3 linked regions of the Alligator mississippiensis genome follow. The protein of the gene in region 1 purifies or fractionates together with the protein of each later gene. This does not show direct contact. Links are inferred from orthologs where the notes say so. Each region holds a gene or a part of one and is shown in the gene's direction. Other genes may lie near its edges.

The links.
Region 2: the proteins of MTNR1A (region 1) and GNAI3 purify together in Homo sapiens (tandem affinity purification; 3 studies listed by BioGRID and IntAct, with this or other methods). This does not show direct contact. The link is inferred for Alligator mississippiensis from reciprocal best matches to the Homo sapiens genes MTNR1A and GNAI3.
Region 3: the proteins of MTNR1A (region 1) and GNAI2 purify together in Homo sapiens (tandem affinity purification; 3 studies listed by BioGRID and IntAct, with this or other methods). This does not show direct contact. The link is inferred for Alligator mississippiensis from reciprocal best matches to the Homo sapiens genes MTNR1A and GNAI2.

The regions. Positions count from the first base shown.
Region 1 is NC_081825.1:68,921,269-68,932,502, forward strand, and holds the start of MTNR1A (melatonin receptor type 1A), read left to right. Parts: upstream 1-6,954; 5' UTR 6,955-7,106; coding exon 7,107-7,281; intron 7,282-11,234. Other genes in the region: uncharacterized protein LOC132248557, read right to left, coding at 429-563.
Region 2 is NC_081837.1:34,291,778-34,302,208, forward strand, and holds the start of GNAI3 (guanine nucleotide-binding protein G(i) subunit alpha-3), read left to right. Parts: upstream 1-5,589; 5' UTR 5,590-5,677; coding exon 5,678-5,795; intron 5,796-10,431. UniProt on the Homo sapiens protein: Heterotrimeric guanine nucleotide-binding proteins (G proteins) function as transducers downstream of G protein-coupled receptors (GPCRs) in numerous signaling cascades.
Region 3 is NC_081835.1:43,289,676-43,300,341, reverse strand, and holds the start of GNAI2 (guanine nucleotide-binding protein G(i) subunit alpha-2), read left to right. Parts: upstream 1-6,361; 5' UTR 6,362-6,480; coding exon 6,481-6,598; intron 6,599-10,666. UniProt on the Homo sapiens protein: Guanine nucleotide-binding proteins (G proteins) are involved as modulators or transducers in various transmembrane signaling systems.

The DNA.
Region 1 (11,234 bases):
TCCTTACGTTCTGAGGCATATTAAGACAAGACATCTTCCCTTTTCAGACGTGTCCTTCCCTTGAGCAATTTCTGGTCAACTGTTTGAATTAATACCCAACTTGCATTTGCTTACTGGGAGTAAACTGTCCCCTTCACTTTGTCAGTGAAAAGCAAGCATAAACAATTGAACTTGCCTAAAAAATGCCATCCCATGGCATGTCTAGAAAAATGACAGCAACCTGCTAATTACACGTATATGGCTCATAATCTAAAAGCCCCTTTTTTCAGTATGATCCCAAATACTTACCTCCAGTCAAACAGTTGTGTTGTGAGCAGAAAATTCACCCCGAACCCTCCCATCCTGCCTCTCCCAAATAAAACACCCATAAATGCAACTTTTAAAGTAGCTCTGCACACTAGGCTTGGAGCCACCCTGTATACTTGCACCTTAAGTCTGCTGTCAAAGTACAGCTCACACTGTTCTTCTGTGCCTTTTAATCCCCTTCCAGTTCCTTCTGCTTCTTGACCTATTTTTCCCTCCCCGACAAAGAAACATTCACTTTTCTCTGGCTGCAGAATCATCTCAGGGAAGCATTTTCCTAAACCTGTTACCCACCTTAATCTATCCAGCTGCAGCCTTTGCTTTGTTGTGTTAATCATATTGACAACTCCTCATGTGGATGCAGGCCACAGTGCCAGGCTCTGAGGCGGCACCAGGTTTTGCAGTTTACACTTTGAATAACCCAGACTATTTGAATGAATGGCTTGACTGTCAGATCTCTAGCCAATCCCTAAGATTTAAAAAGCTCTGACTCCAATCTGTGCTGTATTTTTTACATTTCCCTTAATGAGTTCTTATTTGTAAGCATTGTGGGCTGGATTGCTTCATCTAGAAAGGGGACTAACCATTTCAGAACCAGCTTGGCTTAGTGACATGGATGAGTATGTCTTGTCTAATGCCAATAACCAGGGCAGAGACCTTGTTTTGCTCTTCAGAATTTAAATCAAAGCATAGTCATATTTTTAACGAAAGAGTGCTTTCAAGCATCAGGGTGGTTGTAGTCCGCAGGTTTGTCATTGCCCTGAAATAGAATAGTTTTCTGAAAGCATACTGTTAGGTTTACAATAATTTGGATTTTTAAGAAGTATTAGCTTTACAGCTGAATACAAGGCATGACCTGTGGCCTAGTAATGCAGCTGACCACAAGGCAGAATGATAGCTAGGCCTTTGCTTGTGTCAAGTAATCATTTTAACTGCAACAAGCATTTTCTGAGTTAAAAAGTGAATCTGTGTCTGTGTGCTAAAAAAAATCAGCTACAGCTAGAAGTAAGATAAGACAGAGAAACCATTGTTTGAGCTTACTAGTTGTGTCCTTGAGAAGTATCTTCTACTGTGTAAGGTTTTGCTAACATAATGTTACTGTTACTTAACTTTTAGCTTTTAAAAAAGTGCTAGTTCAGCTTAATAGAAATATGCTGTTACAAAGATTTGTAGAGCACCGCCCCAAGTATTGCTTTTTGTTAACCATATAGTCTTGCTTTGTTGTAAGAAGTATAAAAGATCGCCTCACCCTTGAGGGGGGGGCATTTTGCCTTTTGCTGGCTTTATGGTCTTTGCTCAAGCAAATAAACAGCTGTCTTTCTTTACCCGCATTGTCTGTCAATCAAATTACAGCTAGACAACAGACCTTAGGGAGGTTTCTCCCACCACATGGTCCCGGGATTTTTGTGTTCCCGTAAATGCAACTGTCCTACGGCATTTATTTCCTTTATTTCTGCATCCTGAGATAAAAGATGAATGTTCCAGCACTTACGTGCACTGGCAGCTTCCCTGTGTAAGGCCAATGCAATCCAGCTCAGAAATCTCTGTGGGATTGATCCCACAGGGCATTGAGAAATCTCAGTGACTGCAACCTTCAGTTGGACTCCTTGGCCCTAAGCAATGGCCCTCAAAAGCAGACGCTCTGACTGCCTTCCCAGCTGTGTTGCAAATGAGGCTTCAGCAAGGCAGCAACACTCCCTTTCCCACTCCCTCCGATGAGGATTTTAATGCAAATACCACTCTGATGAAGAATGCCTTGCATTCAAAAGCTTGTTTAAACTTTATTGCAGCCATGTAATTGGTTCAATAAAAGATATGACCCACAAAAATCCATGTCTCTAACAACTTTCTTGTCAAGACATTAAAAAAAACCCTTGCACTTGCACAGGGAATGTCTTGGGGCTGCCGGAGGTTAATTTTTATTTGCATTTCTTTATAAATGATAGATCAACAACAGGGCAAACTAAGCTGCGCACACTTCCTAGGACTTGGCTCATCCTAATGTTAATGCAGCTTCCCTGTAAGCTCTGTGACTCCTTACATAAATGGGTGCATGAATCTGCAAGACACAGCTGTGCTTCATACTTTTGATTATTCAGGATCAAGGCATGCCAAATCTGCAACTTCTAGTATAATCATAAAACCTAACCCCAGATGAGTATACACAGAGCCTTCGATGCAATTTGAAAACAGCAGTGATCTCCCCAGTTTCACAAGGTGGACTTATAACCACTAAACTAGAACACAGCACCCCACTCCAAAGGGACAGAAAACATTAAGGCTCCTATTCCCATTTCCCCTGGCAGGCTTCAATTGCAGAAGAGAACCTTGCTTAACCTGTCAAGCATAATTTTAGTGCCTGGATATATTTTATGGCTGCTTGGACAGTGCAAGTACTTTCAGGGCTTGATCCTCTTTGGAGGCATTTAGCAAACCACAGTGTGAACTGCCATAATGACAATCACAGCTGAGGTTCTATAGATTTGCTCAGGCATTTTAGTCTTATGAGACATACTATCACATAATGAAGGGAATTAAGAAGACCATGGCTTGCATGGAATGAGGGGTGCTTACTGTAGCATCCACTATATCTGCAGGTCACTTGACTAGGGTTTGGCAACATCTTTCTACTTTGTCTGCTGTGCTCCTGTGGAAGGAAGTAAAGAGGCTGAGTCAAGAGTCAGACATTCTGCCTCTGAATGCCCTGCAGCCGTGGCTGGGGCAGGCTGAATTGCAGAGGAGGAGCTGCCAGCATGGTGGATTCCATGCAGAGATGAGGCAGTGGGTGCCAGCTGTAAGAATGGCCATTTGCTGGATCAGACCATAGGTCCATCTTGCCCAGTTACCAGTATCACATAGTGACAGAGAGGATATGCTGAAAGGGAGAGGGAACTGGGTATGACCAGGGTTTTTTTTCCCTACTGTTCCTCTCCCACTTGCAGCCTTCAGCATTTAAGGCCCTCTCTACACATTACAGGTGTTGTGTGATTAACTGGTCATTAGGGCAGTTACCTTGGGCATTTGTACACATGTATGCACCACTTTTAAAAGCACCTGGTGCTGTCACATATTTTTGTACAAATGGTGACATGAATGTCAACGCTGAGAAAATGGCAGAGGCACGCTTTTGAACGAAAACACATCAAAGGTGTTTTAGTTCAAAAGTGCACTGCCACTATTTTCTGCAAGCTGATGCGCATTCACCATTTATACAAAACCATGTGACGCAGCGTTGGGCACATCAGCTTGTGTGCTCTGCAGACTCGATTAATTGAGTCTGCTCCGACACGCTGGATTTCTGGCGCCTCAGAGCAGACAAAAGTACGTGTATAAATGCCCCTTGAGACCAGCTACACATGAAGAGTAGCTATCATATGATAAAAAGCTCCAACCAGCTATCAAGTTAGACCTTGCATATGTGTACTAACTTTTATAGCTGGTTTGCTATCAAGCTTTAATTTGTACCTGTAGCAGGGTCTTCCCTACAGCTACGAGCCTGTGAGGTGAGAGGGCTCCCAGCCACAGGGGCGCAACCCCTGAGCCCTGAGGATCACAGCTGCCATGATCCCCAAGGCTTGGGGGTCCATGAAACCCCTGACCCACACAATGTTCTTGGTCCTTGCTGCGCCTCACCTGCAGCTGGGACTGAGAGTCCTGCATCTGGTAGGGCTTTATGTTCCTCATACACATCGTGTGCAGCTGACCCAGAACCCCGTCAGTTGTGGGGACTCTCAGTCCTGGCTTCAAGTGGCCCCTGCAGCTGGGGGCCCCCTCAGCAATGGAGGTTCCTAGGCATGGGTGCCTGAGTCTCACTGATGCAAGAAAAGCCCAGGATTGGGCCCCTCCCTACACTTACAATAAGGCAAGATTGGATTTAATTCACGATCCCACAAGTGCGCTTCCTGCCATGTACATGTGGCATAGCAGGAGGCACAGTTGTGTGGATCAGGCATTAGGGCCTGGCTACGTGGTAATTTTGGGTGACTCCTGGAGCTCATAACACTTGGACTGTCTGAGCATTAAGGCTAGGGACAGACATTACACATACACTGGTTTAAGTGATCAGAAACTGGTATAAACCTGTAACAGAACATAAATTCAGTGCACGTAAACCAGTTTCAAAGTGTCTGAAACTGGTTTAAGATAAAGCCGGTTGAACAGACTTAACTGATTTGGGTCAAACTGGTTTATGCAATGTCTGTTCCAGACCCTTTCGTGGTTTAAGTTAAACCAGAGTCCCACAGCCTCCAAGATGCTTTGCAGCCCTGGGCTGGGCTGGGCTAGGCTGTGCTCTCTGCTCCACAGAGCAGGGCTGGCCCCACCCCTCTGCTCCCTAGCCAGATCTGTGGGGGAGACTGCAGGCACAGCAGGGTCTGCCTGGCTTCTCTCGCTGCTCAAGCAGGGATTCTTCCCTTCCTCCCTCCCATCTCCCACAGCCTGGACCCCAGGCCCTAGGCATGTGGTATGCTAGCTAATGCTGAGAGGTGTCTGTGTGTCTCCAACTTCACTGGGACAGGACAAAGGCACACAGAACAGTGTCTGCATAGGGCTTTTTAGAGCTAATCAACAGGTCAGCTGGTAATATCCCTCTTTTCCTTCCTTTGAAAAAGTTGTTTAAGAAAAGCTTGAACTAATGAGAGAGGCTTTTGTTTTGTTGATGGGCTGATAAATGCTGTGTTATCAGCCCTCTGCTGGCTCCCTCATCTGTCAGGTTTGCAGATGGTACGAAGAAGAAAGGACAGAGAGATTGAAAAACTCAGTATCATCAACAGATGCATGCAGTGCACCCCCCCCCCCCGCCTTTGCCTCAGAGTGCTAGCCTGGGACTGGGGTCTGGGAACACTCCTGCCCCTTGAGCAGCCAGCAGGGTAAAAGCTTGGGACTGTGCACGCAGGGTGCGGGTTTACACCCTGCCCTAATCAGAGCATCCTGCCAGGGCCTGGCCATGCACTCGCTCAGCTCAGCATTGCAGAAGGGAATAGAGGGCTGCTCTAGCACCTCCCAGCTTCTATCCTGAGCCACCGCAGGCATGTGCCTGCATTTCTGGAATGAAAAGGGAATGTCTATTCACCTCCAAATCAGTTCAAACCTTGCAGGTTAGGCTTACTTTCAAAGATTGAATCAATTCAGGCTCAGCTTTTTGAATGTCTGTCCCTAGCCTAACACCTTACAGTGGCGTTAAGCACTCACTATGCAGCTCAAAGTTATGCCACTCTAGGGCAGGATTATCTCTGATTTGCACTACCCAGCTTCTGTTCCATCTCCACAGATATACCACCCAAGTTGATCTCCAGTATCCCAGGATCTCTTACACCCCTGACCAGAGAGCAGGGATGGGAGCCTGTTCTGGCTCACCAGCTCTCTAGTGGCAACTCAACAGGTACAGCTCCTAGTCCTCTCCCTGCTCACCAGGCCTCTAGTGGCAAGTCACAGCTTTGCAGATAGGGGACAATCAGAGAAAGTTTCTAGACCAGGGGTTGGCAACATTTTTGGGCAGTCCCAAAAAACCCTGCAACCTCCACTTGGCGTGCCAGGGGCAGGCGGTGGGGGAGCTGCAAGGAGCCTGATCCCTGTTGTGGTAGCTAGGGTTGCCAGCTCAACTGAAACTATTCTGGGAGACTTTTTTTCCCCCAGCATGATATAATGTTATGAATACTATATGCCCTTGGAGGCTGGGGGCACAGCAAGCTCCCACAGGCAGTGGTTGCGCTGTCAGCAGTGGGAACGGGGCGGCAGCAAGCGGGGAGCTCCTGCAGGCAGCCACGGTGCTGTCGGTAGTGGGGGGCCAACTGCCGACCGGTGACCACCTGCATACAGTATTGGCAGTGTCGGTGGTGGCCAGCAGCAATCGTGGACTGCCTGCAGATGCTGCCGGCGATGTTGGTGGCAGAATCAGCGGGTGCACGTGCACCTGTGTGAACCCCCTATGCATTGCCAATGCATAATGTCATTCATTGTACTGTGCAACCTGTTCACAATATCCATCTCCCAGATTGTTTTCAATAGTCACTGGGAGATTGATGCCGACTCCGGTAGACTTCCGCCCAATGCGGGATGCTTGGCAGCCCAAGTGGCAGCAGATCCCCTGTCTCTTTCCCACCGTGCACCCTAAGGTGCGTGCTAAGCCAAAATGCCTTTGCATGCCCTGCTCTGGCACCTGTTGCCGGGGGTTGCCTACCCCTGTTTTAGACCAAGCAAGCGACTGCTCCAAACTCCAAGCTACCACCATCACCCATCAGCATTTGTGAGGCTCACAGTGCGAGGTGTAACCGGGCCCAAAGATCCCACTGTGCTTCTGCTGTACTGCAGAAGGGGTCCAAGGTCTAGCTGTCAGCCAGCCCACCCCACAGCCCAGGGGCACTGGTGCTCTGCGGGGTGTAGGGGCGCCCCCTGCCCCGGCAGAGCCAGCAGTCCTGAGGAGCTCCTCCCCGGCCCGACCGCGCTGCAGTCCCTGTCCCTCAGGGGATCCGCCTGGCACTGCAGAGCGGCGGAGAAAGCGGCGCGGCTGCCTCGCCGGCCCGTGCGGGAGTGAGTGAAGGGAGGGCAGGGGCGGGCGGGGGCGCTGCTGCGGCCCGGGACCGCGGGGGGGCGCTGTTGCTACGCGGCGGCGGCAAGGGGCTCCCGGGTGCCGCACGTGGCCCGGGGAGGGGGAGGCTATAAAAGCCTCTCGCCCCGGCACATGTGGGCTCGGGGGAGGCAGCCCCGCCGCAACCGCGGCCACGGGGCTCAGCCCGCAGCCGCCGAGCCGAGCCGAGCCGAGCCGAGCCAAGCCAAGCCAAGCCAAGCCAAGCCGGGCAGGGGCAATGCGCTCCAACGCGTCCGGGCTGAACGGGTCCCTGGCGGGGCTGGGGCTGCAGCGCCCGCCCTGGGTGGCCTCCACCTTGGCCGCCATCCTCATCTTCACCATCGTGGTGGACATCCTGGGCAACGTGCTGGTCATCCTGTCCGTGTGCAGGAACAAGAAGCTGAGGAACGCGGGTAAGGGCAGGGGCGGGGCGGGGAGCGAGTGGGGCAGGTCCCGCGGGGCCCGGGGCAGAGGGCCGCGCCCTCCTAGCGACCGAGGACTGCGGCGCGGCGCGGCGCGGGGCGGGGGGCGCGGAGGCCGGCGCCCTGCCCCGGAGGCGCGCGGCGGAGCAGCCTGCCCGGCCCGGCGCAACTTTTCCCCTCCGGTTTTTCCCCAGTTCAGTGCCGGTCCCTCCGTGCAGCCATCCCGTGAAATTCTGCCCGGGGCACCAAGCCCCCAGGTGGAACAGCTCCTTTCCTCTCAAAGGTGTTTCCAAGGGGGCAGGAAAAGTGAGGGCAGTGGGGTGATGCACGAGATGCTTGCTGCGCACAGACCCTGCGAATAGCCTAGTGCACAGCGTTGTAGTCTGATGCGCTGTAAGCGCCACCAAATAACAGTGTATGGACACTGCTGCGTGGTAACTGTAGGTGCTGCGCAGTTAGTACTTTATTTAGGAAGTACTGAACTAAATGCATGGTATCTAAGACTCATTAACAAATGTGTAGAGTCAGACAGTAGGGGTGGCAGGGAGCTCCACAGGTCATCTAGTCCAACCCTCTGCCTGGATCATCCCTATCCAGGCCACCCCGCCCAGCCATAATTTGCCAAATCAGTCCCTCATGCTTTACGGATTATTGGTAAATCAGGAACGAAACAAGGGACTGGGCAAATTCTTAGAGGAAAGGGGCCCTGGTAGCTGTTGAGCATGGAGTGAGGGGCACGGCCTCCGAATTGGAATTTAGACAGTAAATGCTGGAGGCTGCAAGTGAGAGAGCATCAGTGCGGGGGAAGAAAACATCCTGGTCATACCTGTTGCCTAACCTTTTAGGTAGTGGGTGAAGGAGGTCTTCTGCTCAGGCCATTGAATTTAAATAGGCAATCTACAAGAAATCATGCTTGGGTAGCTTCAGTGTCAGAGCAGTCCTGAGAGTCAGTCAGGCTCCAAGGCTGCTCTGGGATTCACACATGCCAAGTTGGCATCCTAGCAGCAAGTCTGGCTAGTGTCTCATTTTCCTGCTTTGTCTTTCCATGTGTATATGGTGCTGTCTGTCTTCTATTGGTGTTTCGCAGTACTTTTCCACTTCTTTTGCTTCCAACTTTACTTAGGACCTTCCCCATCCACTTTATCGTACCTATGCTCACAGCTTGGTAACAGTTTGTGTTTGATAGCTGTAGCCATAGTATTTTCATACATGGCTGACACAGCAATCACTGTGACTTGACTCCTTGTTGTTGTATGTGTGTCACAGCCATCCAGGTACAATACCCTTTCAACATCTCCTCTTTGCCACTGTGTGACACAGGAGACTAGGCAAGATTGACCTATGGTCTGAGCCAGTAAATGGCAATTCTTATGTTCTTAACTTCCGCAGTCATTCTGCTTTATCAGGTCAGCCCAGCTGCTGTGCATATTATACAGTGTCTGGGCACTTACAGTTCTTTTGAAACTTTCACTGGAAAAGGAAAAATAAGAATCTGCCCTGCTAAATACAGCAAAATCGCAACCTTTTTTTTTTTTTTTTTTTTTTTCCTGTGTCTCAACTGTTGTAAAAGACTACAGAGCAACTTGGAGAAATTCTGTTTTAATGCCACTGAACTCATCAGCTCAAGGGAGAGCCTGTCAGATGCCTGGTCGTACTACAGCTTGGCAAAATATCTGAATCCAGACAACTGAACTCATACTGTGTGAACAGTTTCATACTTCCTTCTAAAATTAAGCAAGTTACTTGACAATAATTTGCAGTTTTAATTTGTCATTTAGTCACATAGGGAATGCCAGTAAATGTGACTGAGATGAAAGGAAGCTGCTTTTCTGTATGTTTACCACTGATCTAAAAATTTAGGGCTGGATTCTCCTATTGCTTGATTGATGTAATCACTCCCGAAGTCAGTTGAGTTGCACAGTATAAAACTGGTGCAAGATCATAATCAGATTTTAGAACTCCAAGACAAATTAATGAGTTTTCCTTGATTTACTTGAAGGGTGGGGGTGGAAGAGGAGGTCGTTTATATCTGTGGGATTTTTGCAAGAAGGATATATTCCTGGTGGGGGTGTGTGGGAAAAGTGGTATGTACCTCAGTTTTTCAGTTGAGAATCAGCAATTTGGATGTCCTTAGGAGTAGACTTGCACCAAGTGCTGTGATTTATTTATTTATTTATTTTTTGTGCCTGTTTTTGTTGTTTGTTTATCTGGAGGGTAAAATGAAATCATTGATTTTTTTTTTTTTTTTTTTTCTCTTGGAAACTTCATTTCTGTGCTCTGCATCTTACAACAGCCCAGTTACATTCCCACTCATACTTTAATGCTCACTCTTGTCAGATTTCTTCTGCCTTTCTCCTCTTACTGGCTAAAGCTGACTCATATAGATCAGGTGAAAGGGTACCCTTATGATCATAAATTCTAGTTGGTTAGACGGTGGAACAGATAGTGCTGTAACTGATCCAGTAAAGGTGTAACAACTGGATAGACAGTAAAAATAAATTCACAGTTAAATTTTAGGAGAGAATGGGCGTGTGTAGATGAAACCAGGGCCCTAAATTGACGCGGTGGGTTTTAAAGAACAGCGCTTCAATTTAGGGCTGATTTTAAACCTCCATGTTGTGCCCACACCCTGCTGACTTACCTGCCTCTCCAGTAGAGCAGTCCCTGGGCTGCAGGGAGGGAAGGCTGGTGCTTCCCTCTGCAGCAGTGGTGGCCTGCCCCCCCCCAGTGGCACCCATCCATAGGCACCTGGCTTGGGTGGTCCCAGGGGGCATTGCAGCCATGGAGGGCCCCTGTGCAGCTCAGGCAGGCTCTGGGGGAGGGGGATCAGGCTCACTGCTTTTCTTGGGCGGAACTGCTTTCCCAGGCTGCTGCTGGGCTGTCTGCAGGACTTTCTGCAGAGCCGTGGAGCTGCACAGAGCCCAGTGCTTCACTCTGCAGCTGTAGGGGCAGCAAAGTAAAACTCCTTGAAGGCATTTTATTTTGCTGTGCCCCAAGTCATTTAAGGCTCATTATGCCACCAAATTTCCTACTGCGGCTGGAATTAATGCACAATACGCCGCTGAGGCATGCAAACACCGACACCTATAGGTCCATTAGTCTTACCTCAGTCCTGGGGAAGCTCTTTGAGAAAATTATCTAGGAGCACATCTGTGAGGGACCAGCAAGGGACATTATGCTTAGGGGCAACCAACATGGGTTCATTAGGCACGGGTCCTGTCAGATTAACCTGGTTGCCTTTTACGATCAGGTCACAAAATCCTTGGATGCAGGTGTTGTGTTGGGCATAGTCTTTCTGGACTTCAGGAAGGCCTTTGACACTGTCTGTCTCTCACCCCATTCGCATTAAAAAACTAGGCAACTGTGGCATTGATGCCTACACAGTCAGATGGGTCACCAATTGGCTAGAGGGCTGCACCCAGAGAGTGGTGGTGGATGGGTCATTTTTGACCTGGAGGGATTGTGGGCAGTGGAGTCCCCCAGGGCTCGGTCCTCGGGCCTGTACTGCTCAACATCTTTATCAGTGACTTGGATGAGGGGGTGAAAAGCACTTTGTTCAAATTCATGGATGACACCTAGATGTGGGTAGAAGTAGGTATGCTAGAAGGGAGGGACAGGTTACAACTAGATCTGGACAGGTTACAGGGGTGGGTGGATGAAAATAGGATGGGAATCAGTACTGACAAATACAGGGTACTGCACCTAGGGAGAAAGAACCAGGAGCATACCTACAGGCTGGGGAACTCCCTTCTTGTCAGTACAGAGGCAGAAAGGGATCTTGGAGTCATTACTGATTCCAAGATGAGCATGAGCTAGCAATGTGAGAACCCTGTCAGTAGGCTTAACCACACCTTGTCATGCATCCACAGATGCATCATGAGCAGGTCCAAGGAGGTGATCCTTCCCCTCTATGTGACACTGGTCAGACCACAGTTGGAATACTG
Region 2 (10,431 bases), on another chromosome or scaffold:
ACGAGAGCTGGGGAAAGAGCGTGTGTTGTGCCATCTGAGTGGTGAGTCATCCTCACCTGGGTAACAGGGACCCATCTCAAGGGAGATGCTGTGAAGGACAGTGGCCTGGAACCAGGAAGGAGCCACTCCTTTCAGGACCGCAGGGTTTCTTTGGTCCTTCTTCCTCCTTCCCCGTGGCTGTGGGAGGGTCTTGTCAACATCATGCTGGATTGGGGAACCACTGCTAGGGCTCTGGAAGTCCCTTTTCATTCCACTCCACTTCTCTGGTAAGGGCCTCCTCCTTGTGTGAGAGGGGAGTTCAGCTGGTGATGACCTCTCTGAGCTGAGATTGCCAGCAGATGGCAACTGGAGCAAACTGGCTGCATCTACATGAGATGGTTACTGCGCAGTCATTTAGTACTTGCATACCTGAGTACTGAATGACTGTGCAGTAACCAGCATTACTGTGCAGTAGCATCCCCACATGGCTTCACGGCGATCCTGACTGCACAGTAGCATCGTGTCACAGTAGCATCGCATCACAGTTCATGCCCTGCGACGCTCCTGTACAGTACTAATGAGCTACTGCGCAGTAAGCGTCTCGTGTAGGCGCAGCCACGGTGTCCAACCTGTGCATTTCAAATAGCCTACTATTGTCAGATTGTCATTGCCAGCCCAGTCTGGATATGAGCCAGCTGCACAGCTCACTGGTCATCCCCTGAGCCACCCAGAACTCCCCTCCCATCCAAACTGTGCCAGTCTGTCCTAGCTTGTCCTGGCTCTGGTCCTCTTTTCCCAAGGGGCTGTTCCCCTGCTCTGTCTATGCAGGCTGACATCTTCCCCTAGCACCTACCTGAAAATGCACTCCTAGCCAACAGGCCCTTCTCTAGTTAGAGACTACTGTTCACTCTTTCCTGTTTGTGTCCTAGTGATATCCTTGTCCCATGAGCAAGAGAGCAGGGGCTGATTTCCAAGGGGGGAGACCTCTGCTTTTAAACTCAATATCAGTGGTTCTCAACCATGTTGGCACCTCTCACTGGACTCGAGGCTCTCCCCATAACTTTGGTGAGTTGAATAGCACCTCATTTCAAAACTAACTTTTGAACTAACTAAAAAACTTTTGAACTAACTAAAAAAAACTACCATGCTGACCTCCTTGCAGATGGGCTGGGCAGTGATGATGAGAGAGAAGCCAGGCAGGGACAAGCTTGAGCCCACGGATGTCTGCTTATCTCTCCACACCCTGTGGCACCCTTCAAAGGATCTGGTGGCACCCCAGGGTGCCCTGGCACCCTGATTGAGCATCTTTTCTACCTGCAGTTCCAGGGCACAGTCGGCAGGTGGCACTACGAGCACAGCAGTGCCAGGAACGTTGCAGGAGCAAGGGCTTTTTTTGGTGATTTCTTTCTTGGGGCCAGGCATAGAGCTGGGAGAGATGTTAGATAAGGGGGCATGAAGTGCCCTTCATTTCACTTCAGGCATGAAGTGTTCCTACATTTGCCGTTTCAGCTTCTAAGCAATGTTGCTGTTCCTTTTCCCTCTCCCATGTCCTGGCCTTTCTGTTGTCCTGCACTCTCCCCACCATGCCCAGTGTGTGGGGACTGCCTTCCTAGAAGGGTGTAGCAAGCACAGCTCATGTCTTGAGCTCTGGTGGCATCAGCTAACAGGTGCTGTGGACTCAGTAGCAGCATGGGAGACTGCTAGGATAAGTCAGACCTGGAGGTGATCCTGTTTCTCTGACTCAGAACTGAACCAATGTCCCTGGGGTCCTGCTTACATTTCACCTGGTCAAGTACCAGCAGTTTACTTACCCCTCCCTGTTCCCCTACCTTGCAGTTTCAGTTGGATACAGATGCAGCTGTCCTTAATCATTGGGCAGCTCACCAGTTCTTCTCTGCAGAAGTGACTGCATCATACTGGTGGCTGAATTGATGTGGAAGTGTTTGTAAAGGGTTTGGGGATGAGGGTTTTCATGCCTGGCATCATTCCTAGGAAAGACTCTGCTTCTGATGAGCTCCATCCTGATTAAAACAATCAGGGCTGGAGGAAAGCATCTGGAAATGCTGTAAATGCACCCGGATGCACACATCCCTCCCCTGCCTCCTAAATAAGCTGACCAAAGCAGTGGTGGGGGTGTCAGCATACAGCTCTTCCCTCTTTACAAGTGTTGCATGGCCCTTTTGGGCTTCAAGATCTTTTCAGTGCCCCACCAGGATTGCTGGTGTGCAAGTCTTCTCCTCTGTAGCTCTTATCCATTTAGCACAACCTCCTTGCCTGGTCTCTTCTCTGTGAGTTTCCATCTCATTGTAAATCTTCCTTGCTGCTCGAAGCCTCTGTATTGATCCCAGCAATGGGAGAACTTACTCACCCTGGCCAAGCTTGGGTGTCTCTAGCCAGTAGTCTCCTTTTCAGGCACCTTCTAGTCCAGCCATTGCTGGGATAGCTCCAGATTTCTTTCTCTTTTGTCTTGTTTAGCAGGAATCTATGGAATCCAAGGAGCCCATCATGGAATTTCCTTCTGGCTCCAGGTGTCATGGAGAATATTTAGCAGCAGAGGGAGGTAGAAGGCTCTTTATGGCAATACATTTCTTGTTTGATGAACAGATTGGGGAAGGATGGTGACAGCCACAATATTTCCTGTGTGGGGGCTGTTCTGGGAATAGCCACCAGAACCAGCCACCTCTTTCTGAATAAAAGAAAGGGGCTGTATTCCAGTTGCTAATGTGGAATTGAGCATAGTTATCTACCAGGACGTGGGGAGGGATGGCTTGAAAGCATTGTAGGCTACAAGATCCTAGATCTCTAGGGAAAGGCATACAACACTAGCAGTTAGTCAGGGCATCAAGGTTCATACTTGAGGAAAGCATGGCTTGGGCATTTTGCAATGGGCAAGGAAGACCTTTTGCTTGCAGAATTCCTAACTGCATTTCCACCTGTAGCTGTGGCTTAGTTGCTGTAGCTTAGTGCATTGTCCCATGTAAAGTGTATTTGGTGTATTGCAGGTTGGTTCCCCCTGGTTTGGACTCTTCCCCAGATGCGCAGTCAGGACAGGAGACACTGAGTGGCCCCAGGGCAGGTAACCTCAGCACTGAACACTTTGTGGCCCCAGCCCAGGGCTCAGGGGTGACAGATCTGCTTTCCACAGGCCCATTTTTCTTCCAGTTACCAAAGACAACAGAGTGTGATGTTGCCACTGCATGTTACTTGCTCAGTACTGTTGCGTGTGAGCCAGCAGAAACTGAGCAACACCAGTGTTCATCCAGTTGGGGCTGCAGTGGACTTGGGGAGAAGGGCCCGCCGTGTTGCAACATGGCAACAAGGCTTGCCATGTTACAACCCTAGCAGTACCTGATCTCACACAGGATTCAGGCTCTTAGCACTGGCAATGTCAGCCTGGGGCTTTTACTAGCACCAGACTCAGGACAAAAATCTCTTGCAGATGGAAGGGTTCCTGTCTGGTACTGGACCCCTCTGCAGTCTTCTAGGAAAGAGAAGATGAGTCTTCTGACGCAGTCGCACATTGTACCCTCTGTGCTGCACAGCAGGTGTCTGCCAGCGCTAGAATCATAGAAAATGAGGGCTGGAAGGGACCTCAGGAGGTCACATCTAGTCCAACCCCCTGCTAAAGGCAGGATCAGCCCCATCTAGATCATCCCAGACAAAGTTTTGTCTAGCCAGGTCTTAAAAACCTCCAAGGATGGAGCTTCCATCACCTCTCTGGGTACCTGTACCAGTGTTTTACTACCCTCCTAGTAATAAAATTCTTCCTGATATCTAATTTAAACCTCTCTTGCTGCAACTTGAGGCCATTACTCCTTGTTCTGTCATCTGCTGCCATTGAGAACAGTCCAGCTCCATCCTCTTTTGAATCCTCCTTCGAATCAGGTAGTTAAATCCCCTCTCATCTTCTCTTCCCTAGACTAAATAAGCCCAGTTCCCTCAGCCACTCCTTATAAGTCATGTGCCCCAGCTCCCGAGCCATTTTTGTTGCCCTTCGCTGCACTCTCTCCAACTTGTCCACAGGTGTGGCCTCACCAGTGCTGAATACAGGTGAATAATCACTTCCCTTTACCTGCTGGCAACACACCTACCAATGCAGCCCAGGATGCTGTTGGCCTTCTTGGCAACAAGGACACATTGCTTGCTCATATTCAGCTAATTGTCCACTGTAACCCCCGGGTCCTTTTTTGCAGAGTTGCTGCCCAGCCAGTCAGCCCCAGCCTGTGCTGTACATGGGATTTTTCTGTCCTAAATGCAGGATTTTGCACTTGTCCTTGTTGAACCTCATGAGATTTCTTTTGGCCCAAGCCTCCAATTGGTCTAGGTCACTCCGAATCCTATCCCTATCCCCCAGCATATCTACTATTCCCGCCAGCTTGGTGTCATCTGCAAACTTGCGGAGGGTGCACTCTATGCCATCTTCCAGGTCCTTGATGAAGACACTGAACAAAAACAGCCCCAGGACCGACCCCTGGGACACTCTACTTGGGCAAGCTGGATTAGTTTGACAGGCTGACAAACATGAGGCCTGGGCCCCAGCTAATGCACCATCAAGCTCTGTGCTGCTGAGAGGCTGGGTCTAGCGCACCAGTGCTAAAGCATGAAGAGCAAGGACTAGGCAAGCAGGGCGGCCGGGGTCAGCAGTGCTGGTGTGACGTGCTACGGCAGGGGAGGTGGGGAGGCAAACTTTTTGGCAGGTGTGCCAGAAATTAGCCCCACACCCTCCCAAGTGTCATCCCTTGTCCTTCCCCTGCTTGGTGTGCTGCTCCACTTTCTGCTTCCATCCCTGCACTCCCTGATCTGCTGCTCTGCTCCCTGCTCTACCACTGAGCTTCCCAGTCTGCCACATGCCCCACACACAGGTTGCCTGTGCTACAGGCTGACCCCTATGCTGTGGGATCACTTAAGGCTCCAAGCCTTACTCTGCGGTGAAGGTATGGCCCATGCTGGCCTTAGCGTCAGCAAAGCAGCTATCACCCTTCCCTTGCACGATGAAGCTAAGGATTTGCAGGCAGGCTGCCTGGCGTTCGACTGCGTCGGTGCCATGGCTGTTGTGAACGAATGAGGTGTGCCTGTGCACGCCAGAGACCTGCCTCTTGCCCTGCACTCTTGCAGGTGTACGCGGGACAGGCCCACTGGTCCCCGGGGGTCCCTCATGGCTGCGGCGGAGGGTGGTTTTCTGCTGGCTCAAGCTGCAGGGCTCTAACCCTGTCCAGTCTCCCCAGGCCACCCCACCCCGCAGGACGGAGGTGCCTGAATGGGCCAGAAATTGTTTCCTGCACCCACTTGCAGGGAAGGTGTGACTGTGCCCATGGGCCAGCAGGGGGGTGGGAGAAGCACGTGGGCCCCCTGCTCAGGGGGGAGGCAGAAGGGAGCCAGTCCCCACCTGCGCATACGTTGAATGGCAAAGCTTGGCACAAGACTCCATTTCCCGACATGCAGGGCGCACGCCTCCATTTCCCAGCATGCAGCGTGTGGGCGGCCACGGCTCGGGACTCTATTTCCCGATAGGTCGCGGTGGGGGCGAGTGTTTTTCCCAGCATGCGGTGCGCGGGCAGAGGCCGCGGCAGCAGCGCCGGTTGACGTCAGGCGGCGGCGGAGCGGATATCCGGCCGCCCCGCCCCGCCCCGCCCCGCCCGCAGCAGCTCGGGCCGCCGGGCTGAGGAGAGGCAGAGCCGCCGCCGCCGCCGCCGCCGCCATGGGCTGCACGCTGAGCGCCGAGGACAAGGCGGCGGTGGAGCGCAGCAAGATGATCGACCGCAACCTGCGCGAGGACGGCGAGAAGGCGGCCAAGGAGGTGAAGCTGCTGCTGCTCGGTGAGGCACCCGCGAAATGGCGGCGGGCCCGTCCTGTCCCGTCCCGTCCCGTCCCGTCCTGTCCCGTCCTCAGGCTGGTCCACGACCCCCCCCCGCCCCGAGCTCCTCACAGGTCCAGACATCTGGCAGCAGGGGAGCTCCCCCCTCCCTCCCTCCCTCTCTGCCAGATTTGGGGTGACTTGGTGCCAGGGCCGGGGGGGATGTGGCAGGAATTGAGTCATGAGCAGAAGTGGCTGACACGGGGGGGGGCAGGACGCGGGCGAGCCCGGCTGGCAACTGCCCCGGTGGAGACGTGTTCTGTGCGCGGAGCTGGGGGATGGCGATGGAGGGGGCGGTTTAGCTGTGGGGGGAAGCCTGGTGACGCCTGTCATGTCACGGCCCCCCCCCGGAGATGTATCGGAGGCACTACTTTTGGGGGGATGATTTAAAAGCGGTGTGGGAGGTGGTTTTCCAGCAGTGACCCGCGTGGAAAGCAGGGGGTTAGCGCGAGTCCCTTCTGTCATCAGCTGCTTTTTTTTCAAGTTTGTCATTTTTTGTTGGGGACGGGCAGGAGCCTGCCTTGCATCCATCCCTTTGCTGAACTCTTGGTTTCCTCAAGAGACGGCGGTAAGAGTCCTCCTACGAAGGACCTGCACTATTGATCTTGTTTTTGGCCAGCCGGTGCTGTGAGCGAGCGGTGCCCTGAGAGCTGTGGTCCTTCGTGTTTGTGCAGATAACACTGCTTGCTAATTGGTTGCGAGTCTCACAGCCCCTGAGGGGTTTTGTTCCCTCGGGACTTGCAAATCCCGCAGAGGAGGGTGGCTTGATGGGGTTACGGTGTTTGTAGCAAGTTTGTCTAAATTGACTTGTAGTTCTCAGCCTCGCTGAACTCGAGGGCTCTTTCATAACTCCTGTAAATTGAGTAGTGCCTCATTTTAAAAACTATTGTGTGTTTACAGTGCTTACCCCCTTGCAGAGAGCCTGGGCCATGGGGGTGGGGGGTCAGCCAGCCTGGGTCTGCTTCTCTGCTGCTCTCCTCACCCCTTGCATTACCCTTCAGAGGATCACACGGCACCCTGACTTTGAGAATCCCTGATGTCAGGTTTTCCTGTGTGCCATGGATGTAGAATACAGTCAGCCATAAATGCCTCTCTCAAAGGAGTTTACCGTTGATAGCACCAGATGTGACTTGCCCAGGACGGTTGCCCTGTTTTGCCAACCCCCCAGGACAGCTTTGGATAGCACTATATATTTCACTGGTCATCCTAGTCCATGGCAGGGCCTGTGTAATTATAGAGAAAATGCTGCGCAACCAATTAAGTCGGTAGCAGGGTGGATCCACAAATGGCACCGAATTTCCATGGGTTTGGATGGCAGTTAAATAGCTGCTTTCCAGAGACACTTCTAAAGGAAAAATGAATAGCTGCTCTGGAATATCTCCAAATATAGTTACTCTCATTCTGGGTTAAGTGTTCACATGTGGATTTACTCAGGAATAGTTGTGCTTTAATTCTGTAGCACCTTAATGTGGATGAGGTTTCTCCTTTCTATCTGGGGTAAGCTACCAGTCTCTGCAATGTCTCCTGGCAGTGAATTCCACAGGCTGATTGCTCACGGTGTGAAAAAGAGCCTCCTCTTGTTAATTTTGAGCCTGCAACCCAGTAACTTCATTTTCTGTCCCCTGGTTCTAGTATTGTCAGGAATATTAAATACGAAATCCCTATTTACTATGTCTGCACCACTTAATGTTTTGTAGACTTGTCATGTCTTCCTTGAAATAAATGTCTCTGTTCTAAGCTGAAAAGTTTTAGCCTATTTAGTTTCTCTTCTTATGGAAGCCCTTCCATACCCCTGATAATCTTTGTTTTTCTTCTCTATACCTCTTCTAGTTCTTCTATATCCCCCCCCTTGAGGTTTCAGAAGCAAGCTTAGTGGTGCCTTGAGCATTACCAGTTACGAAAGGGAATCCTATAAACACATGTTCTTTGTATATAAAATCTGGGCTAGTTTATGTATGGGTAAAGCAAAGCAATCGGTTGCTAAGATTAAATGTACGTACTCAGGCCTCAGTCATTTGGTTAACATTTCAGAAAGCTGAAGGAAAATGTAAATTTTAAATAGTTTGAAACCTAGTGTTTTCATTTAAAAAAATAGTACAATGTCTAGATTGGGGAGAGGGGGAGTATTTTATTTAATTTACCTGTAAGAGATCTTTGAGGCTATTTATATAAACTGTTGCAGTGAAGTCTGGGAGGGGGGGAAGTATTTTGCTTGGGGTGGGGGGGAATAAAAAAAAAAGCTTGAGAAGCTGTAGTCTATTTTCAGAACACAGTTTCCATGTATTGTGAAGTGATGGCTGAGACACAGAACACAGGGAGCCATCTCACCTTCTGACTCTGGTAAAACACTGGCCTCCTTTAGTATTTCTCTGCAGAATTTTTGTGGTTTGGGAGAGCATGCTTGCATTTGCACAAAGTCTACTTGTTCTTCCCAAGCACAGTATTAACAGTGATTCTCAACCAGGGTGTTACAGCAGGTAGGGTGCCTTAATATCCTTTCCAGGGTGCTGCAGGGTGCCAAACAGTGTTAATTCAGTTAGGCATGCAAACATGATTTGCAAGGTGAAACCTAGAGATTTCAAATAGGAATCTGTGGTGTTAAAAGCATTTGGACTTGTTGAGGTCTTTCTGAGTTCTTTGCAACAGAATGGCTCTATTAGTTTTCACTCAATTTGACTACAGAAAACCAAGAGCTGACATTTTCCAAGGAGGTGTCTTGAGCCTAAAAAAGCTGAGAACCAATTCCTTAACAGAATCTTCCAGCATGATGACAAAGCTAAATTGCTACAAGATACAGCTGTGTAAGCTGCATTCACTTTCCCTGCCTCCTTTCAAAAAAAAAAAAAAAAAAAAGACTCCAGTATTGAAAAAAACCCCCAATCTTCTCCCCCCCCCCCCCCCCCACTGTACAGCCAGTTTCTGGTACAGTATTTACTGCTTCTTTGGGTTTCTACTTTTCTTTCTGTTTCTTTATCTTTGCCCTTATTCAGAACACCCCAGAAGCAGCAGAGGAGTATGGGTGCTTGGTCAATTTATCATGTTCTCCAAGCCATTTCATGACTATTTTGTGATCACTGGTGTAAAACAATATAATGTTTATTTCTGTGGTTCCTTTTATGTGAGGCTCTCGCATTACCAGTTATATTTAAGTTTCACAACATTGTCTGTTGGGAAATGGTTACACCCATTGTCAAGCTACATAAGCTGAAGTCTGGGGTTTGCCCAAGGTCATACAAGCCCTTGTAAGATGGAAGGCAATTATGTAATATAGTAGACTCTTGTTAACAGGTCCTTTTGAACCAGTTTTGTAGATAATTTAACTGATCGGGTAGACCAGTCTTCATCACCAGGATAGAAATTGTTGACCTGTTTCCAACAACAAATGTGACTCGGGTAGGGGGGTGGGGAGGAAGCCATGGTAAATCTACGCACAAGAGAGGAACTCCAGAGCTCTTGATTTGCACAACACTCCTCCTTTTGTTATAGTTTGTTTCCATTGCCTCCAGGAAAACTCTGCTTGGCAGGAACAGACGTGCGATTTAGCTGACTCTGGGTTTTTCCTGTTATGATGAGCTGCATGATATGGGAGAGCATAGAAATTGGGGCATTTCTTCCTGGGCAGTTTGTGCTGCCCTATAGTCCATTGCACAATAATTTTCAAAGTGTTTAGTGTGCAATACCTTGCTGCCTTAAGGAAAAAAAAAAAAAAAGCTCATGTTGAATCATTGGTGGCAAAAATACATCCTTTAGTGTAGAAGGCAGTTCCATTGTTGAATCCAGTCAATGTTATTCCTCTGTATGCAACATAAGTGATGAATAGGGGAGTCGTTCCCCCCCCCCGACCACGAGAGCGCTGGTGCCCGCTCTGACAGTGAGCACTCTGGTTGGTAGAGGGGCATGGGGAGTGCTTGTGCCTGTGCCCGTTCCCCCCCCCCCCCCCCCAAATAAAAATTAAAAATTGGCTCCTCTGGTTGCCGGCTGGCTGCTGGGGGACTGTTCCCTGCCTCCCTCATGCCACTCTAGGCTGCCCCCCCCAACTGGGGGTGGGGTGTGCACCAGTTGCCCATGGAACTTAGTGTTGAAAAACGGCATCTTTAGGACTTGAGTCATGCAGGCGCATCCAATATTTGTGCTTAAAATGCATATTAACCTGTTGAAATTACAGGTTTTGACTTAAAACCCCCTAGTACTTGGATGGGCACTTGAACATAATAGAAAAATGTAGTTTGTAGAAAATAATTATAATGGTAAGTCTATCCTAAGACACGTCACATAGCCAATCAACCAAACAAGCATATTGGAAGGAATGGTGCCACGCTCTCTAAAGATTCCTCTTGCCATTTTTTGCTTCTTGGCAAAGCCTGAGAAGTGTCAGTTAGTGCTCTGAAATTTAAACAAGGTTTTGGTGTTTCTGACCAAATTCCAAAGTTGAAGACCACGTGTGGGGGAAATACCCTGCCACTAGTCTTGTCTTTTTTGTGTACACAAAGCAGATGTTTTGGTGTGACAACTGATCTGGGGTCAGCATCTCTATGTAGATTTTCCTGGGACAGAATCCATATTTCCGACAAATGAGCAGTCAGCGTAGATTACAGTGC
Region 3 (10,666 bases), on another chromosome or scaffold:
ACTACCCCTTGTCTGTTGTGAGCATCTTCAGTTCACAACTTGCCCTGGTTTGCCTGGCCCTGTGGGTCACCTGGTGATGTTCCTGCTCCTCCCTGCATTGAGCACTTTATCTGAAGGCAAACGTAGAAGCATCTTTTAACAGAAATCTTGTATCTTGAGGCAAGCAGCCAGCCTTATTACATTACTGTTCTTTTCAAATTGTATGGATTTTTAATGCCTAGCTAGATTTTTTTTGCTCTGTCTACCTATGGTAGGTGCTCACTGTTCACAGTATTTAAAGTACTTCTCCTGGGAGAAATAATAGTGTGTGTGATTATTTCCATTTTACAAATGCAGACCGGAGGGGCTAAGTGACTTGCTGAAGGTCACACCAGCAGCCTGTGGCAGAGAAGGGAACTGGACCTAGTTTTCTTGTTTGAGAGATGACAACGTACCTAAGCTAACATACATTAAGAAAGGGACAGAAGGAGAAGGCCATTAGCAAAATATTTAGTTGTTGATGAAAATATGCAAGCAGGGTGTGTTCTGGGGATGGAACGAGCAGAGTCCTTCTCACTAATACCCACTTGGCCTACAAAGCACAATATTTAGTTTCGTGCTTACTAGGGGTGCACTGGTAGATTGTTTGGGTTGATACTGTTATGCCTCCTTTAAAAAAACAGCTATTGGCCAATACTGATCCAATTTCTAATACGCAGCCTGGCAACTTGAAGAACAGTGTCTGGCTGGTAAGTCTGTTGTGGGAGAAAGAAAGGGTTGGGGGGGGGGCAGATTGAGGCCCCTGTGACAAGGGAGACAGTGGGGCTGGGGCAGGTGCTGCACAGGCGGGGCAGGGCGGGGTGTGGGACAGCCACAAGTGGCTCATCCAGGGGCTGTGGCTCCTGCCGCTGCATGCACCATGGGGGGGGGGCCTGGACTGCACTCGGGGCAGGCAGCGATGGTGCTGGGCGGGGAGCTATGGGGGAGAGCTGCAGCAGCCAACCCAGAATTCACTGTAGCTCTACTAATGCTGCCACCTGCCCTGAGCTGAGCACAGCCCAGCCCAGCCCCTGCCAGGAAGAGCCTAGCACAACCCCGACCCCAGCCCTACAGCTGCAGCCTGCCCTGCCCAGATCTGGGGACATCCCCCTCTCCTATGCTCTCCCAGGATGTGCGCAGCCATAGGACGAGCTATGTCTTTGTGCTGCATGTGCCCTGCCCCAGCCGGGCAGCACCTGCCTCAGCCTCACTCCCTACCTCACTGTGGGGGACCTTGATCTACCCCCTCACACCCCTTCCCTCCCCTTCCACCACAACATACTTACCAGCTGGACGCAGCTCTCCAAGTCGCTGGGCTGTGCTCCTCGCCACATACATGCTGTGTTGTGGCTGTGCATATGCACAGGCCATTTATTAGCCACACCAGGCTGATTTCCAATACAGTCAATTTTCTTTATATCGGTGCTGATCAGATACCGGACCAATGTATCAGTGCATCTCTAGTGGTTACAGTTGGTATTTTCTCCAGCTGCAATGAATAAACAACTCTTTATTATACTGGAAATTTGAGTTTGCCCTCAATAAGAGATACTTTCCCCTTTGGGGATGGAAGGGGCTTCAGAGAGCTGGAAACTCTCTCATCCTGATGAACCACATGGCAGAGTTCTCTCCTTCCAATGAAGTGCATGAAGAATGGTCCCAGGCCAAACTGTGAGGCCTGCTTGAGATCAGAGATGAGGCTTGCAGCCAGGGCACCTCTGCATGGTTTGCAAGGGCCATTTCCAGTTAACCTTTCCTCTGTTAGGAACTTGGATCCAGCTGTTGTAGCAGAGAATTAAAATAATGCCATTAATCAGGCAGTGCTGTTTGATAATAAACCTTTGCCCATGCAGATCATTCATGTTGAACATTGGTAGGTGTTTTGGAGGAGGTATCTAGTGTATTATCAATATGAAGCTGTTGGGATGTGATGAGTAAAGCAGGGGACAAAGTGTTTAATTCCATTTTGTATTGATACCTAATGTTTCATTTGCTCTTTAGACATCTTAGAAAGGAGTCTGGTAGCATTGGCTCCATTTTGGAGGTTGGAAAGCTGAGGCACAAGGTGAACTGAGTAGCCCAAGGTCAGCCAAAAGGATAGTAGCAGATTTTGGAGTACCTAAGTCTGTTCAAGGATCTGTCCACTAGGCCACACAACCTCAAGTGAAAAACCTAGAGTCAAATCCTAGAGACTTTCCTAAGACAAAATTCCCTTTTTGCTCAACAGAGTTTGGGCCACTCTTCTGGGGGGAAATGAGCACCAGGAATCACCTCAGCTTTCTGGCCTTATTTCTGGGACACGGAGAGTAAAATAGCAAAGTCACCAGCCAGACTCCCTCTTCCAGAGCTTAGCACATCCACCTGAACAAACAAGCTGAACACCCTTCACAAATCACCATCAACAGGGCAGGTCTAGGTGTATAGCTCTCTGGCCTGCTCCCTGTTCCTTCTGCTAAAATGAAAGTCCCTGCTGTTCTGCTAGCTAGTGACCAAATTGACTTTGGCTTTCCACCACTAGAGGGTGGAAAGGTACTAAGCACATACCAGTGAAGTGAGGCTGATCTCATGAAACCAACTAGGAGCAGAGGGAAAGGAAGCCTCACTCATTTCTTGGCCTACCTGTGATCACCAAGAAGGGACTTTCAGATGGGCCTCTGGTCAGATGCCTGGGGTTTGCTCCTGAGATGCACCTCTTAGGAACCAATGGGAACGGGGAACCAAGGTGGCTTTATCTTTGTACTGTCCGGATTCTGGGCTGGCTAGAGATCACAACAGTCTGAGCATATATTAACAGTGACCCTAGGAGGTTTAGAGCAGCAACCTACAGGTGTCCCATAGCCCAGTCTCCAGGGTGGCATGTAATATGGAGACTCCTTACCCCAGGGCTTGCAAGTGCAGGGGGGCAGCACGGGGACTAGAATTTGCTTTCCCTATGATCATGCTTGTGTGTGCGCGCGTGTGTGTTCATTTGCATTCCCTGTATACTCTAGCACATGAATTTCTTGGCAGGAAGGATGATGCAAACAGTGAATTTTCAATGACTGTGGCAGGTTATTTGCAAATTCTACGAGAACTACTCATCCAGTTTGGGAATAGAAACAATATCACATGAGTTATGTTATGTGTCCCATCCAAATCAACCAGTGCAGCTTGAAATATTGAATTCTTATAATAAACTGATAATATAGGCAAATAATTGCTTACAAGACTTGGCTACTGAACAATTTTAAACAATAAAAAAAAGTTGGAAGTATACTGTCTGTGAGTATCCTAGTTTCTAACAGAAGACTGGGCAAAAAAATAATTGGCTTCTCTTGGCAAGCAGTGACAAGCATGGGTTCTCAGACTGGGATCACAGACAGGGTAAAAAGAGTTAAAACCACCTTACTCTATAGTATACAGGCAACCCTCGCCATTTGTAGGGGATATGTTCTCTCATCCCCCGCTAATGGCGAAATCTGCGAATAAGGCACTGTGTTCATGAACGCAGTGTTCCCGGTGGCGATGGGGGGGCACAGCAGTGGCGGCAGGAGCCCAGCGGCAGCAAGCGCAGAGTACCTGAGGAGCTCCAGTAAGTGTATAAAGTGTATTTAAATGTGGGTTCAGCACTTGTGAATATTAGAAACCGTGAATGCCGAACCCACGAATAGCAAGGGTTTCCTGTATAGCTAAATGGGAAAGATGCTTCTCAAAGGTAGAGCAGTTGGGGGTCCCAGGCTAGAAAAGGGAGTCCCACTATTGACTGGCTGCTGATATGCTGAGATGACTACCTGTCATTGTCACTTTGTACTCTCCAACTGCAGGCTTATAGTCATTTTTTGTCTTGGACTTAGATTGTAAGCTCTTTGGGGAAAAGTTTTATATTCTGTGTGTTTTACGGTGCCTGACAGTGGGAACATGGTCCATGAAAGATTCTTATGTGGTATGGTAATAACAACAACAGTAATAATAATGATGATGATGATGATGATGATAATAATAAATGAATTGTTTGTTCTGCCCAGCAATCAAAACTGTAGGGGCACTGGTGTGGGAAATCTGAAACTGAGACTGTTAACAAATAAACAAAGCATGTATGAAAATTCTCTCTTGGGCCTCAATTTGATGGACCCTTGACAACACTTTTCTTTTGAGCCTTACTTTCTGTGTTTGGGGTTCACTATACATATATGACACTGACATTTCATACAGAAAAATTATGCTTCTATGATGAGCAGAAGCAAATGAATCTTAGAAGGAAAATCTAACTGGTCTGGATTTCTTGTTGACTTGCAGTTTAGCCCAAATGCCTTCTAGGGGCTGGTGTAATCAGTATGTTGTAATATTTTAAAGGTATCAAGTATTTTCCTTCACCAAAAAAATTTCATTGATTGGCTAGTATGGTGGGCTCAGTTTTGATAGCATGTCTGATGACTGCATCTGAGATGTGCTCAGACTGGCCAGACAAGACATTGATTTTCTTTCTTAAATTTAGTCTATATTAGAAAGTTGCATCTCTAGCAACATTGGTACAATTAAAATGATACAATCCCTTCAAGTATGGACACTGGTGAACTGGTATAAAAGTGATGGAACATACCTTCCTATGTATATGTATAACAAGATAATGTTTGGTTCCAGGGACCCAGTGTAGTTCAGCTATCAGATCCACCTGCAAAGGAGCTATATGTTCATGTGTGGGGTGAGGGGATTCACGTAATGACTTTAAAGGACTATAGTACTGTTAGCATGATGGTCCAGGAATTATGCAAGAGAAAAGGATTTTTGGGGGATAATATCTTTTATTGGATTAACCACATAGCCGGGATAAAATTAAACAAACTTAAGAAAGCAAAGCATTCAAAAGCTTCTCTAGCTTTATCTCAACTATACGGTTAGTCTAATAAAAGAGATCACCCCCCAAAATCCTTGCCTTTCATTTAAAAGGCTACATAATGGGAGCTGGGCTCTTGCAGTTAAAGCAATGCCAGACCTCTAGAAACTGCAGCTATAGTGAGCAGGGGAATGGTTTGTCATCTTTAAATTTTACATTGGAAAATAAGATTGCTTGGAAAGAATTCCTGGGCATGGTAGTGAGTCTGTTCAGGGCTGGGAAAACGGAGAGGCTGTACAGATGTGGAGAATATGGCTATGTAGTTGGCCTCTGGAATGGAGGGGAAATGGAGACAACAGATAGCCTGGAGCCAGGCTGGGTAGCCTCTGCGGCTAGGGGAGGAAGGAGCAGGAGGAGGCTATAGAAGAATGGGGTGGGGGGTATTAAGCACCTTTTATAAGAACAAACCTCTGTCAATACTAGGGCCTGTACTGTTATAGCTATTTCAGGAAAAGCTAACCCCTATATGAAATAGCTACATTAACACAAAGCTTTGTATAAAGCAGATCTAAGGTTCTTCTGTCATGCTTGCTGCCAGATCTAGCTGTACGTTGCCATTGAATGGATAGGTCTAGTGTCTGAAATAGGCAGAACTTGGATTCTGGTTATGCGCTGATGTTTGAAAAGTGACTGCCCATTCACAGGTTTCCAAATCCTGCTTGTTGTAACCCAGCCATGGCATCAGTGGAGATGCTAGAACCGTTCTAATCATTGGCTTCTGCATGTGCTTATGTTGCTTCCCTATTTAAGGCATTATCTAGGGTCTACGCCAAGTGAACAGAGCTGCATCTTTGGTTTGCATCAGGAATACAGCACCTGCACCTTTTTAATAGGTAAGAAGTGTGAAGGGTGTCGCTGACAGGGCATGTGATCTGCCCTGATGAATGTCTTGATTGACTAGATCCTGGCAGCCAACCTGTGGCATGTGCCACAAGTGTCATGGGCAGCCTACGTGTGTGACACGCGGTAGAGCAGGGAGCAGAGCAGCAGCTGGCACAGGGAGTGGGAGGACAGGGGAGGGAGTGGATGTGACACTCGCGGAGGGCACCGGGCTGACCTTGTGGCACAGCTGCCAAAGACTGATGTTTGGGGCCAACCTTGCTGGCAGGCGACCTGGGCCCCACACGCTGTGCGAGTGCTCGGCCCCCGCCCGACCCCCTGCTTTGCTTTCTGCTCCCTGCCCCCGCCGCGCACCACGGCCCAGGCCGCCTCGTGGGTCTGGGCCCAGGGAGCCGGCGCTTCCCCGCCGCTCGGGGGAGCCCCGTCGGGCTGCTGCGACCCCGGCCCCAGCTGCCCCCTGTCCTCGGGGCACGGCTGCGGGCGGGCCTACCCCCGGCTCGGCACGCGGGACGGGTGGCGGGAGCGCGGCGGCGGCGGGGGGCGGCTCCGGGCCTGGGGCCGCCCACGGGCGGGGCCCGGCGCTGACTCAGGAGTTTCGGGCGCCGCCCGCCCCGCCCCGCCCGCCCGGCAGCGAGCGGCTCAGACCCCGCCGGCAGCCGGAGGCTCGGGCTGCGCCGCGCCGCTGACCGCCCCCGCTGCCGCACGCCCGGGCCGGGGCCCAGCCCAGCCCAGCCCAGCCTTGCGGCGCCATGGGCTGCACCGTGAGCGCCGAGGACAAAGCGGCCGCCGAGCGGTCCAAGATGATCGACAAGAACCTGCGGGAGGACGGCGAGAAGGCGGCCCGCGAGGTCAAGCTGCTGCTGCTCGGTGAGGCCCCGGCCCCGGCCCCGGCCCGCGCCCTCCTTGCCTCCATCCGGCGCGGCCTCCCCCGGCCCTGCCTGTGCCCCGCGCCCCAGCTCCTCTGCGCCCCGCCCCGGCCCGCGCCGCGCACGCCCCCCGGCCGCATCCCAGGCGGTGCCCCGAGCCTGGCTGCTGGATAAACCCTCCCCTGAGCGCTTCCTCCATGGGCACCCCGAGCTTGACACCCACTGCTGCAGCTCAGCTGCGCTGAGGCTGCCGTGGGCATCCCAAATCCAGGCACCTAATAAGCACCCCCTGATGCCCCAGGCTTGGGGACCTGCATCCCTTCAACCTCACAGATAAACTTCTAGCCCCACCCCTCCCCTTTCTTAGATGCACCCACATGGCTTGCAGTCTCCAGTGAACTCCCATAGCTGGCCAGTGACAGCCCCCAGCTGGGTAAGATGAAGCCTTTAGCTGTACCTGTTCACTTCTCCCTAAGTACAGCTTGCAGTTCCCATAGATTGCCCCAATAACATACTTGTCCTTCACAACCTGTAGATACGCGCCACTCAGTGTGCTCCTGAGACTCTGGTTCATACACCCCCATGGTGTCCATTAGGTCCTTCTTTACCCCACTTTCAGGCCAGACAGAGCCTCCAAAACAACTCCTCCCATTGTGTTCCTCAAGTAAAGAACTTGCTCCTCCTAGGTACCTCCTCTCTCTTGGTTGCACTGGTGTCCCTCTGCACCCAGCTGCCTGTCCCTCTAGCAAGCCTCCATTCCACCTCAGCATACCGTATCCACATCCTGAAATACCACCCTGTGTGTCCACATATCCCCCTAGCCATCCAGACACACCACACTCTCTTTTTCTCCCCACTTCCAAAAACGTTGTTCATCTGTCCATATTCATCTTCCAGTGACCCTGGTCAAATATACTCTTGTCTGTCTGTTATGCTTTTCCCCTGCTCTTCAACTGCATTCCCATCACTGTTTTCCCCAACGCCCCCTTGTATGAACAGTCCTGGAGAGAGCTTTGTGAGTGCCTGGTTCCCAGCTGTGCCACTTGTGCTGATGTGGGTGATGAGCTGTTGATGTTGAGGGCAGGGAACACCCTGTTAGGCAGAGCGGGAGGTGCCTGCTGCTGAGGGTGATGGTGACAAGGTTGTGGGGGGGGAATTGGAAGCCCTCATTCCACCTCTGACTTCTGTGATGACTGCATAGTGCAGCCAGCTGTGAGTTGGGGTCCTCCCCTGGGCAATGCAGCCCAGGGAGGCAAAACTATATTTGTTTCTTAGTCCTGCCTTTCTGAAACTCTGCTCAGTCAGACTGGGCACACAATTCTCTCTTTACCAGGAGGTATAAAGAGGGCCAGGGTAGGTAGGTTTCTCTCTTTAATCTTAGGTTAGTGGGAACTAGGGCTCCTGCAGCTGTGGTCAGCACTGTCTCTCAAGAAACCTGCTTCTCTTGCCCCTCCTTTCTCTTATCCTACCCTGCCCCCTTTCCTTCCCTCCCTCTCTCCAAACTAGAAAAGTAAACTGGCTGAAAACGAATCCTCCTGCTTTCTTAGTCCTTTCTCCCTTGTGAAGGAGGAAGCCCACAGGGAGGGGTCATCAGTTGATTTTCATTGATTGCTAAAATAACGGTCCAATGGAGGGAAATACTTTTTGCAAGGGAGAAAATGCCTCAACTTTGGCACCTTTTGGATAACTTTGAAGGGTGTATTGCTGCATGGAAAATGTATCCTGACAAGCAAAGTGAATTCAGTACTCCTTGATATTGGCTGCAGTTTGCTGCAGAGCAAATGTTGCTATGTTTACTGCTCCTAAAATATTTTTTCAGCTTGTTCTCTCCCTTTTTTTAGTTGGCAGCAAACTTTCAATCCAGCCTGAAGACTTTTCAGATTTAGGATGGTCTGATGTTAATAAGGATAATACTTAGCACTTGCATAAGGCTTGCTGTCTTCAAAGCACTTTACAGATACTAATCCCAGCTATCTCACAGCTCTCTGTTCTTTGCCTTTGGGGAAGTAAGCACATTTTAAAAAGAATTCCTAATTGGGTTTCATTTTGCTTCTGAAATGCCCAAGGAGAGCAATTCCTGATTCAGTTTTTTAAACCTGACCTAGGATTAGATAATGTTCACATAGTGAAAGAAAAACTTACTTGAAGTGGAAAGCTGAAATATTATGGGGTGAAGGGCAAAGAGGATATAAAAAGTAGTGTGACAAGAGAAAATCATTGCTGGTTTAAGCAATGCAAATAGAAAATGTTTGATGTTGATTTTTAAATAGAGGAAATGGAGTGGCAGGAAACAATGGTGAAATTGAGCAGCCATGTATTTGCATCTGAATAAATAATATCGCCTATTTTAAAATGTGCCTTATGGACAAAGCCATAATTTCTTGATTTTTTTTTTTTTTTTTTTTTTGGTACATTGTTGGCACACAACGAATATTAACATTCTTTTAAGGGAAAATCCCTGGGTATATTTGTTAGTAGGCCAGACAAATTGATTTTTTTTTTAAAGGTATTTCACTATGCAAAAATAGATCCAACTCTCCATGGTTTTGGGATGTGCTGGTATGGTCAGGGCTGACAAGGCGGCTAAGGCGGCTAGGTCATGATCTCATATCGAGGTCAGTGGCTGTGGGGTAGAAAGATGGCTCCCTGACTTAAAGGGCTTTTCAGTCATTGGGATCTGTTTGCAGAATGGGGTGGGGGCTTAGTTGGGGAAAGGTCTAAAAGCCCAGTTTATGGAAGCATGTATATGGGTAACCTCACTTGTGCAATGTGCTAGAGCTTGTTTTTCCTTTACAAGCAACTTGGTAGAAATTGAAACACAATACTTGCATTTCTTGTAGTGCTTTTTTTTTTTTTTTAAAGATACTCATCCCCCTATTTATTTTTAAATATTTATTAAAGCTTTTGAATGTGGTGGGTGTGGCATGTTTAGTAGTACAAACAAAAACCCATGCTGGATTTTTTTTTTCTTGTTCAAGTTTTGCATCTGTTGGCCTGTGTAGTTTGCAACATAAACATGCTCACAGTGGCCTGTGGATTTGCAGCTCGCTAGGTGAGTTTGCTGTATAAATAAGATGCAGGGCAGCAACCGTATCCATATAATACTAAAAATAACATCCTAAGGCATTTGACACTTTGTATTTGAATTTCCACCTGTGTTAAGTAGAGATGACAGGCTCTAAGAAACCTATTTGTATAGTAGTATGGTTAGCACTCTGATAAAATCATCTAGATGAAGTGGATACGCCCATCAAATATGTTCCAGGCATAGTCAGGGTTTCAATGAATACCAAATGTATACTAGGTTTGCAAAATTAGAAATCTGTCAGATGGCTAATTCATAAATAATACTATTTTCCATTCTTTATAGTACTCATTAACAGAGGCCTCTATCCTGCAAGCACTTACGGTCATAACTTTCCTCATATGGGGAGTGCTTGTGGGCTAGTCACATGAGTGAAGTTTAAGTATGGATGTAAGTGTTTGCAGGAGGAGGGCCAAAATGACCATTAGTGCTTGATTGTTACCTGTCACAATAAAATGAAAGAAAAGAAAATGTCTTGGCAGCCCCGAGTAGATGATTAATGTATGTGTTCTGCTCTCAGTCATGCTATATGGCTAGTGCTTGTTTTCACATGTCCAGTGTAGAATGGATTATTTTATTCCCAAATTGTACCTTTAGGTTGGAGAGGAGTCAAACATAAGCCCATTTTCCCCCCCCCTTGAAGTGTCAGTATTTACCAAAGATGTTTCTGATCTTGGTGGGCTTTCTAATGCCAGAAATAGATAGAAAAATTAAATTGTTTCAAGCAGCTGTTCAAGTGTAAATAGTGCTGAAGTCTTGAGTCATTATTGCCTTATTTTTAAGATGAGGCATGTCTGGAAAATACTTAAAAATTAAATTGAAGGGGTTGAAAAAACCCAGGCTATTCTCTGCAAAAACCAGTGTAAATAATTCAATTATGGAGGATACTTTTGTCTAGATCAGTGGTTCTTAACCTCTTCAGACTCGAGGCACCCTTTGTAAAATGCCAGCTTTTAACTTTCACTTATTTTTTGGAGTACAGAA